2 linked regions of the Diceros bicornis minor genome follow. The protein of the gene in region 1 purifies or fractionates together with the protein of each later gene. This does not show direct contact. Links are inferred from orthologs where the notes say so. Each region holds a gene or a part of one and is shown on either strand. Other genes may lie near its edges.

Evidence for each region. Proteins that work in one complex are often made in the same cells at the same time.
Region 2: the proteins of KSR2 (region 1) and MAP2K2 purify together in Homo sapiens (affinity purification with mass spectrometry; 3 studies listed by BioGRID and IntAct, with this or other methods). This does not show direct contact. The link is inferred for Diceros bicornis minor from reciprocal best matches to the Homo sapiens genes KSR2 and MAP2K2.

Annotation. Positions count from the first base shown.
Region 1 is NC_080774.1:15,001,199-15,008,690, forward strand, and holds the start of KSR2 (kinase suppressor of Ras 2), read right to left. Parts: upstream 3,005-7,492; 5' UTR 1,964-3,004; coding exon 1,784-1,963; intron 1-1,783. UniProt on the Homo sapiens protein: Location-regulated scaffold connecting MEK to RAF. Has very low protein kinase activity and can phosphorylate MAP2K1 at several Ser and Thr residues with very low efficiency (in vitro).
Region 2 is NW_026691553.1:3,137,700-3,145,050, forward strand, and holds the start of MAP2K2 (dual specificity mitogen-activated protein kinase kinase 2), read right to left. Parts: upstream 3,004-7,351; 5' UTR 2,802-3,003; coding exon 2,710-2,801; intron 1-2,709. UniProt on the Homo sapiens protein: Catalyzes the concomitant phosphorylation of a threonine and a tyrosine residue in a Thr-Glu-Tyr sequence located in MAP kinases. Activates the ERK1 and ERK2 MAP kinases.

The DNA.
Region 1 (7,492 bases):
GAAAAGAAGCCACAGAATCCAGAGCCCACTGTGACAACCACCATTCTCCAAGGTGTTATCAGAGGATGGAGCACGTTGAAGAGGCAAAGAAAACTTGAGAAACTTACACAGCCGTACGCAAACTAGCATTTGGGACTCCTGACTCAGAGGACCAGAAGAGACCCCATGTGGCTCTTTGGGGTTACTTATTTACTTACTGCACGCAGTTCTGAACAGAATTTTATCTTGGTCACTGCTCAGACAGGAGGCTGGCCCAGGGCATCCCACATTTTTCTTCCAGCAGCAGAGTCCTAGACTAGACTGCTCTCCCCAACCTCTGAGAAAGAAAAGACCTGTGCCTCCCAACAGAATTCCCACTCCTCTAACACCCTTTGACATTCATCTTATTTCATTTCTGAGAATCATTCTCCCAGATGACAGGTGCACCTAGACACACATTCGAGGGTAGCAAACAGCATATTCAACACTCACACACACACACACAAACTCCACTTTCAAACTGATGACCTTCCTGCGGGCTGACATCTAGCCAAATTTAAAACCATAGAGGAAAAAGAAAGACAGTGAATCAGAGAGAGGTGCTCATCCAGGCTAGAACAGGGGCACCAGGGTTAAAAGATGCTGTAAGGATTGAAGAGTTCAGGCCTTGGAAATAGAAGGAACCTGCCAGCATTGCACATGCCCACTCCACCACAGGCAGAACCTCTGTTCTTTGCTCCCAGCCCCATTGCCACCACTCTCAGCAAATGCCAGCTAATGGGAGTTCCCAAATTTAATCAAGCCATGTGTACGGCTGGGCCGGTTTGAGAGAGAAAAGTGAGTGGAACCCTTCAGATGTTGCAAGCATCGTGGATGCCCAATGATAACATGGACACAGGCATTTTCTAAGGCTCTTGAAACCTTCCGCCTTTGACCAAATAGCTTTTGGAAGAAATAATTTCTGCCATCTTCTTTCTGAGTAACTTTGCATCCATCCCACCCCCACAAAACTGCTTCAAACTCCCCCTGAAGTTCTGTTGGAGAGAATGTTACAACAAACCAACGATAACTCCTCCTCCCACCCCTTTCCTCCCGGTCCCACCGAGATTCAAGAGTATTTTCCCACACCACTTGTGTGTGCTGTTCCAGGAATTATTTTTTTTTTAAGCTTTTTACGCGTTTTAGGCCTGCAACATCTCCCTGCATCCAAATGATTTGATTGGAAATGAGTAGCTCAATGGGGATTTTTTTTTCATGCATCTTGCCTCCTGACATACATACATCACTGGAAAAACCACAAAATCCAAGGAGCAAAAGGGGCGCTGGGAAGCAGGCCGAGAGAAGAAGAGGTCTGTATTTATAGGCAGCCCCATTCTGCGAGCAAAACCACCTTTTGACCACCTGCAGAATGCGCAAGGTCACGTGGTTTTCTGTGGGTTCTCTGCAGCGCCTTAATGTCTTACCCGGCACACGAGCCCCCATGGCATATAAACAAATCCACGAGCGGAAAAAAGAGAGAACTCACTCCTTAGAGAAGAAGCAAATGATAATAACAGCCGCAAGAATAATAATAAAGAATAACAATTACTACTACTACTACCACCACCCAGCCAAGCGTAGACGACAGCAGTACAGTAAAGGGCCACCCAGTGCAGGCTTTGCAAGATAAATCACAGAAAACCACATCGTGCCCACCTTGCCACCCCCCCCCACCCCCCATACAAACAGAATTAAAGGAAAGGGGACGGCGGGGAGACAGCGGAGGGAAGCAAGGATTGCTTTTTCCCCCGTAGGCAGCACCTACCTCCAGGGTCCGGATTTCTTTTTGTGTGAGGTCGTTGGAGGTAGCACATTTGGTCCTAAGCCCTTCCAGGTTGGAGATGCTCAGGTCTATCATGTTTTGGACCAACTCGCACTGCTGTAAGGCTTTTTGCAAACTCAGAGGCTGCTGCTCCTCGCTTTTCGTCATGTTTTCCTCATCCATCGCTTGCTCTGCAAGCCCCCTTCCCCTCCTCCTCCTCCCAGAGAGAAAAAAGGGGGGGGGGGAGGTAGTCTACCCCCGCCGCCTCTCCAACCACTGCGACTTCTCAACAATGTCTCATGAAGAAGAAACCCAACATCTCACACGGGGTTGAGGGGGTGGGGGTGGGAGGAGGGGACAGGAGCCAAAATTTATTATTTTATTTTGGGGTATCAAGCAGACTCCATTAGAATGTCTCCTCTCTCTGAGTCTCTGGTCCTTGAAAAGGAGAGATGCTGTTTCTCAGAAGCAAACCAGGTGATGTGATGCTGTCTGTACACTTAGGGAGGAGGAGGAGGAAAAAGAGGAGGAGTGGGGGGAGGGAGAAGGGGAGGAGGAAGAGGAGGGGGAGAAGGAAAACAGCGCTCACTCTTTACACACCGGCTCCGTGAAGGACAAAATTATATATTTTTGGCTGGCTTGCTTTTATGTCAAAAAAATTCTGCTTTGCCCCCCTCCCAGTTGCAGTGACACGGCATTGTCCAGCGTTTGGGGGCTTTAGCGCGTTCTCAAGATGCTGTCTGCATTGCTCCCGCGGCTGCGGCGGCGACTGCGGCTGGCTGCTGTCTCCTCCTCGCGCTGCTGCTGCTGCTGCTGCTGCTGCCGCCGCCGGGCTCCGGGGGTGACGGCTGCTGCACTCGCTCCTGCCTCGCTCCACACCGACATCTTGCCTGTCAATCAAGGGGGGGTGGGGGGAGCGAGGGAGCGCCGGCGAGGGATGGCGAGCGAGCGAGCGAGGGACCTGCAGGGGAGCGGGTTGGTGGAGAGGCGCCGTGCGCGCATCCGCCCCAGCCGGGCCCCGGCCCCGGCGCGCCAGGGACCCGCCGGAGGAGGCGGGGGAGGAGCGCGCAGGCTCGCGCACCTGGCCGGGGAAAGGGCCGGCTCCCGGCGGGGCCAGGGGGAGCGGGGGGCGGGATTTCTCGGGATACGGAGCTCGCGTGGCAAAGTGAAATTACTAGCGGGCGTGCGTGCGAGCGAGCGACGGGCGGGCGGGGGCGTGGGGGAAGCGCGCGCGGCGGCCGAGGCTGCTCCGGGGCGGTGGAGGTGGCGGGGAGGGTGCCAGAGCGCGGAGGCTGGGCGAGGAGGCGGGGAGAGGGATTTGGTGGCGGGATGGGGGTGGGGGCCACTACTACAGCAGCGCTCTCGCGAGACGAGGCCAAGTACTGCTCAGCAGGTGCGCTCTGGCTGGGAGCAGGTGTGCGCCCAACTTTAAAACCCGTAGTGCGTGCGGGAGAAACATCAGCGTGAACCTGGGCACGTCCTCTCTGGCTTTCTGGCTCGATGTGCGTGTCTGTCTTTTCGTTCATTTGTCCTTTCTTGTTACTGGTGGAAAATAAAACATACCTGATGATCTTCCATGAGCTGTGGGAAGCGGCCTCGCAGCATTGGTGCCCTGGCCTGCAGTTACCCTGCCGGTGGCTGTCCATTTGGAGGGGGAAAGGGGCTTTGCCTTAATCTGACTGTTATTGTGTCCGACATGCCCTGAAAGATCTGATCCCAGCCTACCTAACCGACCTTATATTAGCAAACTATGGCCTCAGGGCTAAAAATGCTTTTTACATTTTAAAATGATTGGAAAAAAATCAAAAGAAGAGTATTTTCTGACACGTGAAAATTATAAAGAATTCACATTTCAGTGTCCATAAATAAGTTTTATTGGAACACTGCCACCCTTTCATTTATTGTCTGTGGTTACTTTGCATTATAACACCAGAATTGAGTAGTTGCAACAGACACTGTATGACTTGCAATGCCTAAAATATTCACTAATCTGGCCCATTACAGATAAGTTTGCCAACCCCTGATTAAATCACCAAACATATCCTTGCCTTGGAGTTCTTTGCACTCTATATCCACTCTGCCTGGACCACATTTCCCCCTAGCTCTCCTGGTTGGCTCCTTGTCACTCAGGGTCAACTCAAATGTCATCTCAGAGAGGCTTCATCTCTGACCACCTCAATTAATGGTACTCTCAACACACATTGCCCAAAGGATGTATTGAGGATTGTTAGCAAGAGACATCTCTTTCTCCTGGTGACCAGAGCTCCATGCCAGGGAACTGGGCTTACAGGGCAGAGTAGACTCAGAACACATGGTACAATATGTGCCCCTTAAAAGGAAGCCACTTGAGAGGTATGGAGAATGACAGCCAGTGAAGGCAAACTCTTTTTTTTTTTTTTGTGAGGAAGATCAGCCCTGAGCTAACATCCGTGCTAATCTTTCTCTTTTTGCTGAGGAAGACCGGCTCTGAGCTAACATCTATTGCCAATCCTCCTCTTTTTGTTTTTTTCCCAAAGCCCCAGTAGATAGTTGTATGTCATAGTTGCACATCCTTCTAGTTGCTGTATGTGGGATGTGGCCTCAGCATAGCCAGAGAAGCAGTGCGTCCCTGCGCACCCGGATCCGAACCTGGGCCCCCAGTCGCGGAGTGCGCGCACTCAACCGCTAAGCCACAGGGCCGGCCCCAAAGGCAAACTTTTTTTAAGACTGTGGGCCATGGGTTTTTTTTGCTCATACAGAGCTGAATCAGCATTTTCAAAATCTCTCTGTCATGAGGAGCTCAGGAGAGTTCTCTATGTTCTCACGCTTTTGGACTATGAAGTTTATGGATTTCAATTCTCTGGTAAAATTCTCTTTTCATCTATTTTCTCCATCTTTTGCTTTGTTTTTCTTGAACATATTAATCATGGTTATTTTAAAGCCTTTGTCTAATTCTGATACCTCGGTCACCCGTGGGGTCTGTTTCCATTGACTGTTTTTCTCTGTGTTTTCAGTGATGTGGTCCTGTCTCTTGGCAGGTCTTGTAATTGTTGAATGCCAGGCATTGTGTATGAAAAAATACAGAGTCTCCAGGTGATGTTATCCAGCTCTGGAGAGGGCTCACCCTTTCTTTGCAGGACAGATGGTGTGGGGACTGATCATCTTGATTCTATCAGAGGCTGAGCTGAGTGGAGACTGGGTTACAGGTCTGATAAGACACCATCTAACTTTGACCCCCATTCCTAAGGCTTTGCCTTTCAGGGATTCCAAATGAGAACTTGGGGTGTTCACCAAAGCCCCTCCCCTCTTGTCCTGAGCACTCATCTTTGTCTCCATAACTTGGCAAGACTGCTGAAAACTGCTCTGTTTTTCAGGGGCTTTCTGGTTGGCTTCTTAGCCTCTTGGCCTGCACTGTTTCGGAATTTGCCAAATGCTTTAAGGGGAAGACTGCCATCCATCAAGCTCACTTTTCTGCCCCTCCCTTCTCTCTGGGATATTAGCCTCTCAAGTCCCCGATTGTGTCTCCAACCCTGTGAGAGTGCCAAAAGTTCTGCTGGTTTCTCTGTCCCCCAGCAGCAGCCCCCTTAGCTGGGAAAAGTCTAGATTCCATCTGCCCAAATTTGCAAACGTCCCCAGGGAAACAGTGGCTGCAGACTGTCAGCTCGCCTCAACACGGTTCCCCTCTCTCCAGAATCCTGGCCCCTTCGGTCCTGGTTGCTTCAGCAGCTCTCTGAATGTCATTAAGCACATGATGATGAAATGATGATGATGATTTGATCTGACTTTTCTAGTTGTTTTCAAAGGAAGTGGAAGTTTAAACAGTGAAAATAGCCCAGAGGTCAGAAGTCATCAACTGGCAGAGCTATAAGCACCACACAAATGCGTCTGTTTGACCCCTCCCCTTTTTTCAATTGATTGCTGTAGTGGACATTTGTTATACTTTGCATCCACCTAGCCTCCTTTGAATATCCTTCTATGTTTGGAAAATATCCCACATTATGAGTTCCACCTCTCCATAAGAGAAACTGAAGCACTTTTCCAGCACCTTCCTTGCAACCATGTCTCATGAGATCTAAGCTCTACCATTTGACACATCACATGAGATTTCTGCTGGAAAGTGAGAAACAAAGGGGAGGAATCTATCTGCTAGTGAGCATAGCAGCCAATGCACCTGTTTCCAGGTGTCCTGCCCCTGTGTAAGCTTCATGTCTGTGCTGAGAGGCATGGCGTGGTGTTCATAGGGGCAGCCCCACAGTGTGGTTTCACATTAGTCCTGGCTGCACAGTCCGAGCCTGGCTCTCTTGTCCTCCTGGAAATTCTATAGGCTTTCTAACCACCTGTCTTAGTCTGCCCAGGCTGCCATAACAAAATACCATAGATGAGTGGCTTAAACAACAGAAACTTATTTTCCCACAGTTGTGGAGGCTGGAAGTCTGAGATCAGGGTGCTGGCATGTTTGGGGTCTGGTGAGAGCTCTCTTCCTGGATTGCAGATGGCGCCTTCCCGCTGTATCCTCACATGGCAGACGTGACTCATATGGCTTCCTCTTCTTATGAGGCCACAGCCCTATTTGATTAAGGCCTCACCCTTTTGACTTCATCTAACCTTAATTACCTCCTAAAGACTGTAAAGATATATGGGGGGTTAGGGCTTCAACATATGAATTTGGGGGCACACAATTCAGTCCATAGTACCGCCCTATTAAAGCAATTCTGCTTAAACGACCTGGAGTAGATTGTGTCGTTTGCAACAAAGAACCCTGACTAATATTCTTGCCAATAATTCCAAAATCAGGAAATACTACAAAAAATGGAGATTTCTGGCCTTTCTGGGAAAATGGGAAGATCTGGCCACGTTGGGCAACTATTGGCTAGATATGAGGCACCTGTCCCTTCCAGATGGGACACAGGCTCTCCAGTTCACCACAGTCCCCACCCAGCCCCCTTCATTCATTATTTGTTTCCTGCCTGGCCCCTGTAGGCATTTGTGTTGCTCCTCCTGGTATAGCTTAAGGTGGTTTGCACCTCAGACCAATAAGAACCTCCCCAATTTCAAGCTTGGAGAACAGGAGCTAACTGATGAGAATTGTGTTGTTGTTTTTATTGTTTTATTTCATCCCAGAAACTGCATATGACCTCTGAATGATGCGTGTCTCAGAGTGGCTTTATCCATGGCAGAAATAAATCATTGTCATTGGGCTACTGAGTGAGCTGAACTTGGCAATATCTCATTAGATCCCATAGCTTTTAGTTTCAACTCTAAGAACAGTCTCATATTCAGGTATTAGAAGTCCAGTCTAGTCCAATCAAAACTTCATTCTCATATCCAGTTTAATACCTTCTTCCCCACCCCCTCGAGTTGGACCCACGGATGGCTAATGAATCTGCAGTGGAGACAAGGGCAGGTGTGTCCTTTCCTGCCTCCTCTCCAGCTCACCTGGAGCAGAGAGAGGAGTGGAAAAGGGACCCTGAGCTGAGAACAGGTGAGTACAGGTATAGTACTCTCTCGAGTGTCAGATGTCCCCACATGTCCTGGCAAGCACTCACATGCTGGCTTTTACATGAGACACACTGGGGGATCTTTGGAGACCCCCGTGGGGACTCATTGCACGCGTCAGCTGACCTCTTGCACACCTCTTTTCCATTCATACCCCAGGACACACCCCACATTCTTTTCCCCTTGCCTGGCAGGCTCCCCTCTTGGGTGAGTCTTTTCAGGATGACTCAAGCCTAA
Region 2 (7,351 bases), on another chromosome or scaffold:
CCCTGGAATTCCAATGGCTGGCCTCCTCTGCTGGGGGAATTCTTGAAGGGATGGAAATCAGAAACCACATCAAAGAAAGAGAAGGGCAGAGGAAGGAAGAGGTCTCCCGGAGGAAGAAGAAGGAGCGGGTTTCTGAAAATTAGGAGCCTGTCCCCGCGTTGAGCTGTGCGGTCGGAGATGGAGAAAGATGCCGGCTCACACACACACGTGCGTGAAGACCGTCCTTCACCCGGGACGCAGGAGGCCAAGTCCCCGAGGGGACCAGATGTGCCCTTTGCCCGTCACACCACAAGCACAGCCAGTGGACCCCCCCGCCACGGGCCTCTGGACCACTCCGCTCCACCGGCATGGAGAGCGGGAGTGGGGAGGTCATGGGGACTTTTGCGGCCACGCGGTCACCCCGGTGTGACCATACACACTACCATCCCGCCATCCCATAGCCCCGCCACCCCCTGCTCCCTGCTCTGTCCCCTGCCCCCAAGCCCTCCAGTCTCCCTCCACGGCCTGCACTTCTCCAGCCCGGAGGCTCTGCCAGTCCATTCGATTCAGAAGCTCTGCTTATGCGCCTTCAGGGGTCCCAGCAGGGCCCCCGCTCCTTTCCCCCACCCCTCCCACTTCTCCCCACACCCCACCCCTCCACATCCCCCTCACTCCCTGCTGCCCCAGCCTCCTCACCCCTCTCTGCTACTTCCAGGGGCTCCCTCTCCCCCACCAGCAGGGTCTTCTCATCCTGCCCTTAGTCTCTCAGGCTCCTTTCCCCCCAATTCCCTCGGAGACTCTCCCCTCCTCCCCACACCCCTTCAGGGACCCGTCCCCCATCCTCATCGCTCAGGCGTCCCTTCCCTGTTGCTGGTCTTCTGTGAACCTCCTCACCCCATCCTCACTCCCAGGGACCCTCCCGTCGCCCCTTACTCTGATTCATTACTCAGGGACCGCCCGCACCCTGTCCTCTCCCCATAGGGACCCCCTCAAGACCCCTCAACCTGTCCTCACCACTCAGGAACCCTCCTCACCTCCTCCTCCCCTCAGGATCCCGCACTCTGACCACACTACTCAGGGACTCCCCGCTTACTCCTATCTCACTGCCTGGGACTCCCTGACCCATCCTCTCCTCTCAGGAATCCCCCCATCACCCCTGATTCACGACTCAGGGACCCCCCAACTCGGATCGCAGTACTCAGGGGCCCCACGCCCATCCTTTCCCTGCAGGGACCTCCTTCACCCCAATTCACAACTCAGGCACCCCCCTCACTGCAATTTCACTATTTAGGGTCCCACGCCCCATCCTTTCCCCTCAGGGACCTCTCCTTGCCCTGATTCTCTACTCAGAGTCCCCTCAGCCCATCCTCTCCCCACAAGAACCTGCCCTCAACCCGATGTCACCACTCAAGGACCCCTTCCTCCATCCTTGCTACTCAGGGCCCCCTCATCTCATCCTCTCCTCTCAAGAACCCTCCTCCATCCTCCATCACTGAGGACCCCCCACCTCGATACTCAGAGCCCCCTCCCCCATCCTCACTACTCAGGACCCCCTCCCCCACCCTCACTACCCAGGGCCCCTCTCTCCATCTTCTGGGGGGGACCCTCCATCCCATCCCTTCCTCTCAGGGATCCCTCCCCCTGACTTCTTTAATCAGGGCCCCCTCTCCTGACCTCACTATTCAGGAACCCCCACCACCCCATCCTTTCCTCTCAGGGACGCAGCCCCCCCCCCCCCCGGCCTTTCCTCTCGGGAACCCCCTCCTCCCTCGTCCTTCAACACTCAGGGCCCCCCTCCCCCATCCCTCATCACCCAGGGCCCCCCTCCCCATCCTTTCCTCTTGGGGACCCCCTCCCCTCCCTCATCACCCAGGGCCCCCCTTTCCCCTCCCTCATTACCCACGGCCCCCCTCCCCATCCTTTCCTCTCGGGGATGCCCTCCCCCCTCCCTCATCACCCAGGGGCCCCCCCCTCTGTCTTTTCCTCTCGGGGACCCCCTCCTCCCGTCCTCCATCACTCAGGACCCCCCCCCCCTCATTACCCAGAGGCCCCTCTCTCCATCCTTTCCTCTCGGGGACCTCCCCCTCCATCCCTCATTACCCAGGGCCCCCTCTCTCCGTCTTTTCCTCTCGGGGACCCCCTCCTCCCGTCCTCCACCACTCAGGGCCCCCTTCCCCCATCCTCGCTGCTCAGGGCCCCCTCCCCCACCCTCACTACCCAGGGCTGCTCTCCCCATCTTCTCGGGGGGACCCTCCATCCCATCCCTTCCTCTCAGGGATCCCTCCCCCTGACTTCTTTAATCAGGGCCCCCTCTCCTGACCTCACTATTCAGGGACCCCCCACCACCCCGTCCTTTCCTCTCAGGGACGCCCCCCCTCCCCGTCCTTTCCTCTCGGGAACCCCCTCCCCCCTCGTCCTTCAACACTCAGGGACCCCCCCTCCCCATCCTTTCCTCTCGGGGACCCCCTCCTCCATCACTCAGGGCCCCCTTCCCCCTCCCTCATTACCCAGGGCCCCCTCTCTCCGTTTTTTCCTCTCGGGGACCCCCTCCCTCCGTCCTCCATCACTCAAGGACCCCCTCCCCCATCCTCACCACTCAGGACCCCCTCCTCTGTCCTCACCACTCAGGACCCCCTCCTCTGTCCTCGCCACTCAGGGCCCCCTCCCCCTGCTCCCCCGAGACCCCCCGCGCCGCCCCCTCCCCCCGTGCGCCCCCGGCCGGCCACTCACTCGGAGGCGCCCTCGCTGGTGGGGGACGGGCCCTCGGCGATGGCGGGGCTGATGTTGAGCGCCGGCAGCACCGGCTTCCTCCGGGCCAGCATCGGGGCTCCGCGGGCCGGCGGCGGCGCCTCAGCCGGGGCCCATAGGGGGCGGGCCGGGAGCGGGCGGCGCCGACGCGAGCCCGGGGCTGCGGCCGCGGCCTAGCCGGCGCCGGGGCGGCGAGGGCGGGCGGCCTGCCGACCGGGGCCGAGGGGCGCCGGGGGGCGCCGGGGCTGAAGCCGAGGAGCCGCCGCTGCCGCCGCCGCCGCCGCCGAGGCCCGAGCCAGGCTGACGCTGCAGCCAGAGCCCCGAAGGCCGAGGGAGGGGAGGGGAGCGACGAGATCGCGAGCCGGCCTCTCGCGAGAACCACCGCCAGCCGCCGCGCCGGGCCCCGCCCCTCCCCGCGGCGCGTGCGCACCAGCCGAGGCCGCCTCCCCTAAGGTGGAAGGGGCGGAGACCGACTCCAGGCGGTGCCTGGAGCAGCGCGCTCTCGCCTCCCACCGTGCGAGTGCGCATGCGCTGGGGACCGGGAAAGGCAGGGCGGGAGGGAGGCGGCGGTGGGGTTGATGAGCGTGGGCAGGTGGGCAGGGGAGAGGTCAGACCCTCACAGCCGTGTGGGTGCCAGACGGGGACTACATGAGCCAGTGAAATCCCCCAAAATTGTGAGAGGTGGACCCAGAGTCACTTTAAGTCTTTTTGCCAATTCTGGAACCCCCCCCTTCCCACTAGCACCTCATAATATCAAGTATCCCCATTCTTTTAAAAAGAGAGGTCGTTGTAAAACTTTTTTGTTGTGGTGGTAAATATACGTAACATAAAACTTACCATTTTGACTATTTTTAAGTGCACAGCTCAGTAGCAATGAAGCACACTCACATTGTTGTGCAACCATCCCCACCATCCGTCTCCAGAACTTTCCATGTTCCCAAGCTGAGACTCTGTCCCCAGGAAACACTGACTCCCCTCCCCTCCCCCAGCCCCTGGCCCCACCATCCACTTTCTGTCTCTGTGGCTGTGACTCCTCTAGGGGCCTCCTGTGAGGGGATCACACAGTGTCTGTCCTTCTGGGTCTGGCTCATGTCACTGCGTGTCATGTCCTCAAGGTCCATCCATGTTGGAGCAGGTGTCAGAATCTCCTTCCTTTTTAAGGCTGAATAATATTCCATTGTATCAGGCCGGCCCCGGGGCTTAACGGTTAAGTGCGTGTGCTCTGATGTTGGCAGGCCAGGTTCGGATCCCGGGCGCGCACCGACGCACTGCTTGTCCGGCCATGCTGAGGCTGCGTCCCACATACAGCAACTAGAAGGATGTACAACTATGACATACAACTATCTACTGGGGCTTTGGGGAGAAAAAAAATTCCATTGTATGGATGGACCACATTGTGTTTCTCCATTTGTTCATTGATGGACATTTGGGTTGTTTCCACCTTCTGACTGTTATGAATAATCTGGCTGTGAACATGAGTGTGCAAATATCTATCCAAATTCCTGCTTTCAATTCTTTTGGATATCTACTCAAAAGTGGAATCATTGGATCGTATGGTAATTCTATGTTTAATTTTTTGAGGAACCACCAAAGTGTTTTCCACAGCGGCGACACCATTTTATGAGAAAGGTCATTTTAACACCAATAAAAAAAAAGAAAAGAAAAGAAGGAAGTACGTGACACAGAATAAACGACAGTCATTTAAACGAGAAAAAGTTGACTTCATGAAAAACTCCCCGCATTGCTTTTCTTTTTGTCACGTCTCTGAGCACGGGTGTACATTTCATGGTGGGGTGCCCCTTTGGGAACCACATGGGAAGACACAGGCGCAGTGAACAGTCTCTTCCAGGGTCCATCCAGCCCAGGTGCCCTGGTCTCCCCGGCTCAGTCCTGCCGACTTCCTCTCCGGGTGCCCTTCAGACGTTCTTTTAACAATTGATTTGCAACGCCCTTTATGTGAAAGCTACAGTGCTGGACACCAGAGATACAATGTTTAAAAAACAGATACATAATACACATATACATAATTGCAAAATGTGACCATGTTCTAAAAATGCAAAGATGTAACCATAGCTCTCCCCTGATTAAACCTGTTCCCAGACACGTCTGCACCACCACTTCCACAGTCTGAGCGTTTTCAGTTTTGTCTCTGGCTGCTCCCACCCACTCACCCAAAATTCAGGGGAATGTTCATCTGGCCTCAGATAATGCCGTGACCTTTCTCAGCTCTGGGCGTTTCCTCTTTCTTTCTGTTCTGCCAAGTGATCTCTTCATCATTTTATTTCATTTTAGGCTGTGTATATCCATAGAGTCTTTTTTATTGAGCTATAACTTACATATAATAAATGCACAGTTCTCGAATGTTCGAGAACATTCGACTTTTACAATTGTATATACCCATGTAACCATTCCCGGAAACAAGGCGTAGGACATTTCTGTCACTCCGGAAAGTTTCTCAGTGCCCTATTCAGTTAATCTCCCTCGCCCTAATCAGCAGTGGTGTCCTGGTAAATGTTTAACAGCGGGCTTTTGAAGTAAGGAACTGGGGGAGGGGGCACAGAGAGGCTGATATATAATTTGTAACATTTGCCCATTTCTGCGGTGTAAATATTTCCACCATGGCTGATTTCCAGCTACCACGAAGCTGGAAAGAATGGTAACAAGAGGCTCCTATGAGCCAAGACGAGCTGGCCACAGCACACCACTGCCCCAGAGACACTCTAGATTCTGATTTCTATCCCCACTGATTCATTTTGCATGTTCTAGGGCCTCATAGAAATGGAATGGTACGGTACATACTCTTTTTGTGTCTGACTTCTTTTGCTCAGCACAATGTTTTTGCAATTCTCCCGTGGGGTTGCGTATAACACTAACTTGTTCTTTTTCCACGCCATATGACATACCATGGTGTATATTTTGGGGATTACCTTCTTGAGGAGGGTGAAGAGATCATATCTTTTCTGATGATCAGCGTTTTCAGTTCTTCTTGGTTCCTATTTGGGGGCTCAGCTCACATGCCACGTTTTCCAGCAAGTCTGCTTCTCCCAGCTTCTGCCAGCTACCTACTTGCAATTCCCAGGGCACCCTGTTTATTTCTGGTTTACAGCTCTCACCGCGTTCTGATGCACATCACTGCTCTTTCGTTTTGCCTTCCCTGCTAGTTACGAACGTTTTGAAGGCATGGAAGAGGTTGAATTCGTCTCCTCTCCCAGATCAGCCACTCGGATACAGTTGATGCTTCATACATTAATGCTACTTGAATGAATGAAACGGGCGTTCCTGTCCTCAGAGACGTAAATTTCCTACTAATCACCCGATTCTCAGAACTTGTGATAGTACATGAGCTTTTATTATCCAGCTTACAGTACAGACTCACATCCTCCACTCCTTTATCTTGTCTGGCCAGCGCAGTCTGCTCTGCAGCCTCTCCGTGTTAACATATCTCCCTGCTTATCGTTGGTTGCAATCCCCACTTTCTTCGTACATCAGTTTCCTGCTTCCAGAGACTTGGGTGTCTCCTAAATCACTTCCCTCCCGCTGAGAAATAAATTTCTAACAGCTTTGTTGATAGATTCAATGCAAAGTGACATTTATCTTGATTAGGCATGATCTAGTATTAATGTCACATGTGTTCACTGTTCCTATCTGGAAACGCACCCTGAACTTGATCGCTCTCACCTGTGCAGTGGATTAACCAAAAGGATTGCTGACCTGACCCCTTTGGAAAGCATTAGTACTATCTTGAATACCCTACAACCTAGGAATTCTGCTCCTAGGCATACAACCTAGGAAACTCTTGCTCTCATATAACCAGGAGACACCGACGCTATGTTCTCGATGGCAAAAATCTGGAAACTACGTAAATATCCATTGACGGAGGAATGGAAAAATATGTTCTAGCATTGTCCCACAAAGAAATATTGGGCACACAAATGACAACCACGTAAAAAAGTCTTAAAAACGTAAAATTACAGAAGACTGTCTGTGACACCATATTTTTTAAGTTTATTTTCCTTTTTTTTTTTTTTTTGCTGAGGAAGATTGGCCCTGAGCTAACATCTCTGCCCATCTTCCTCTATTTTGTATGTGGGACACTGCCACAGCACGGCTTGGTGAGCGGTGAGTAGGCCAGGGATTTGAACCTGCGAACCCTGGGCCACAGAAGCAGAGTGTGTGAACCTAACCACTACGCCACTGGGCCAGCCCCATGTGACACTATTTTTATAAAATGAAAATGGCTCAGCATCATTAGCCATTGGGGAAACGCAAATTAAAACCACAATGAGATACTACCACACACCTATTAGAGTGGCTAAAATTAAAAAAGTTGACAATACCAAGTGTTGACGAGGATGCAGAGCAACTGGGACTCTCGTACATTGCTGGTAGGAATACCAGCTGGAAAATAATTGGCAGTTTCTTAGAAAGTTAAAGGTACACTTACCATATGACCCAGCCATCACACTCCTGGGTCTTTACCCAAGAGAAATGAGCTCTTAGGTTCACCCAAAAACCTGAACACGAATGTTCATAAAGCTTTATCTGTAATAGACCCAAACCTGGAAAGAACCCAAATGTCCTTCAGTGGAGGAATTGATAAATGAATTGTGGCTTGAATGAATTT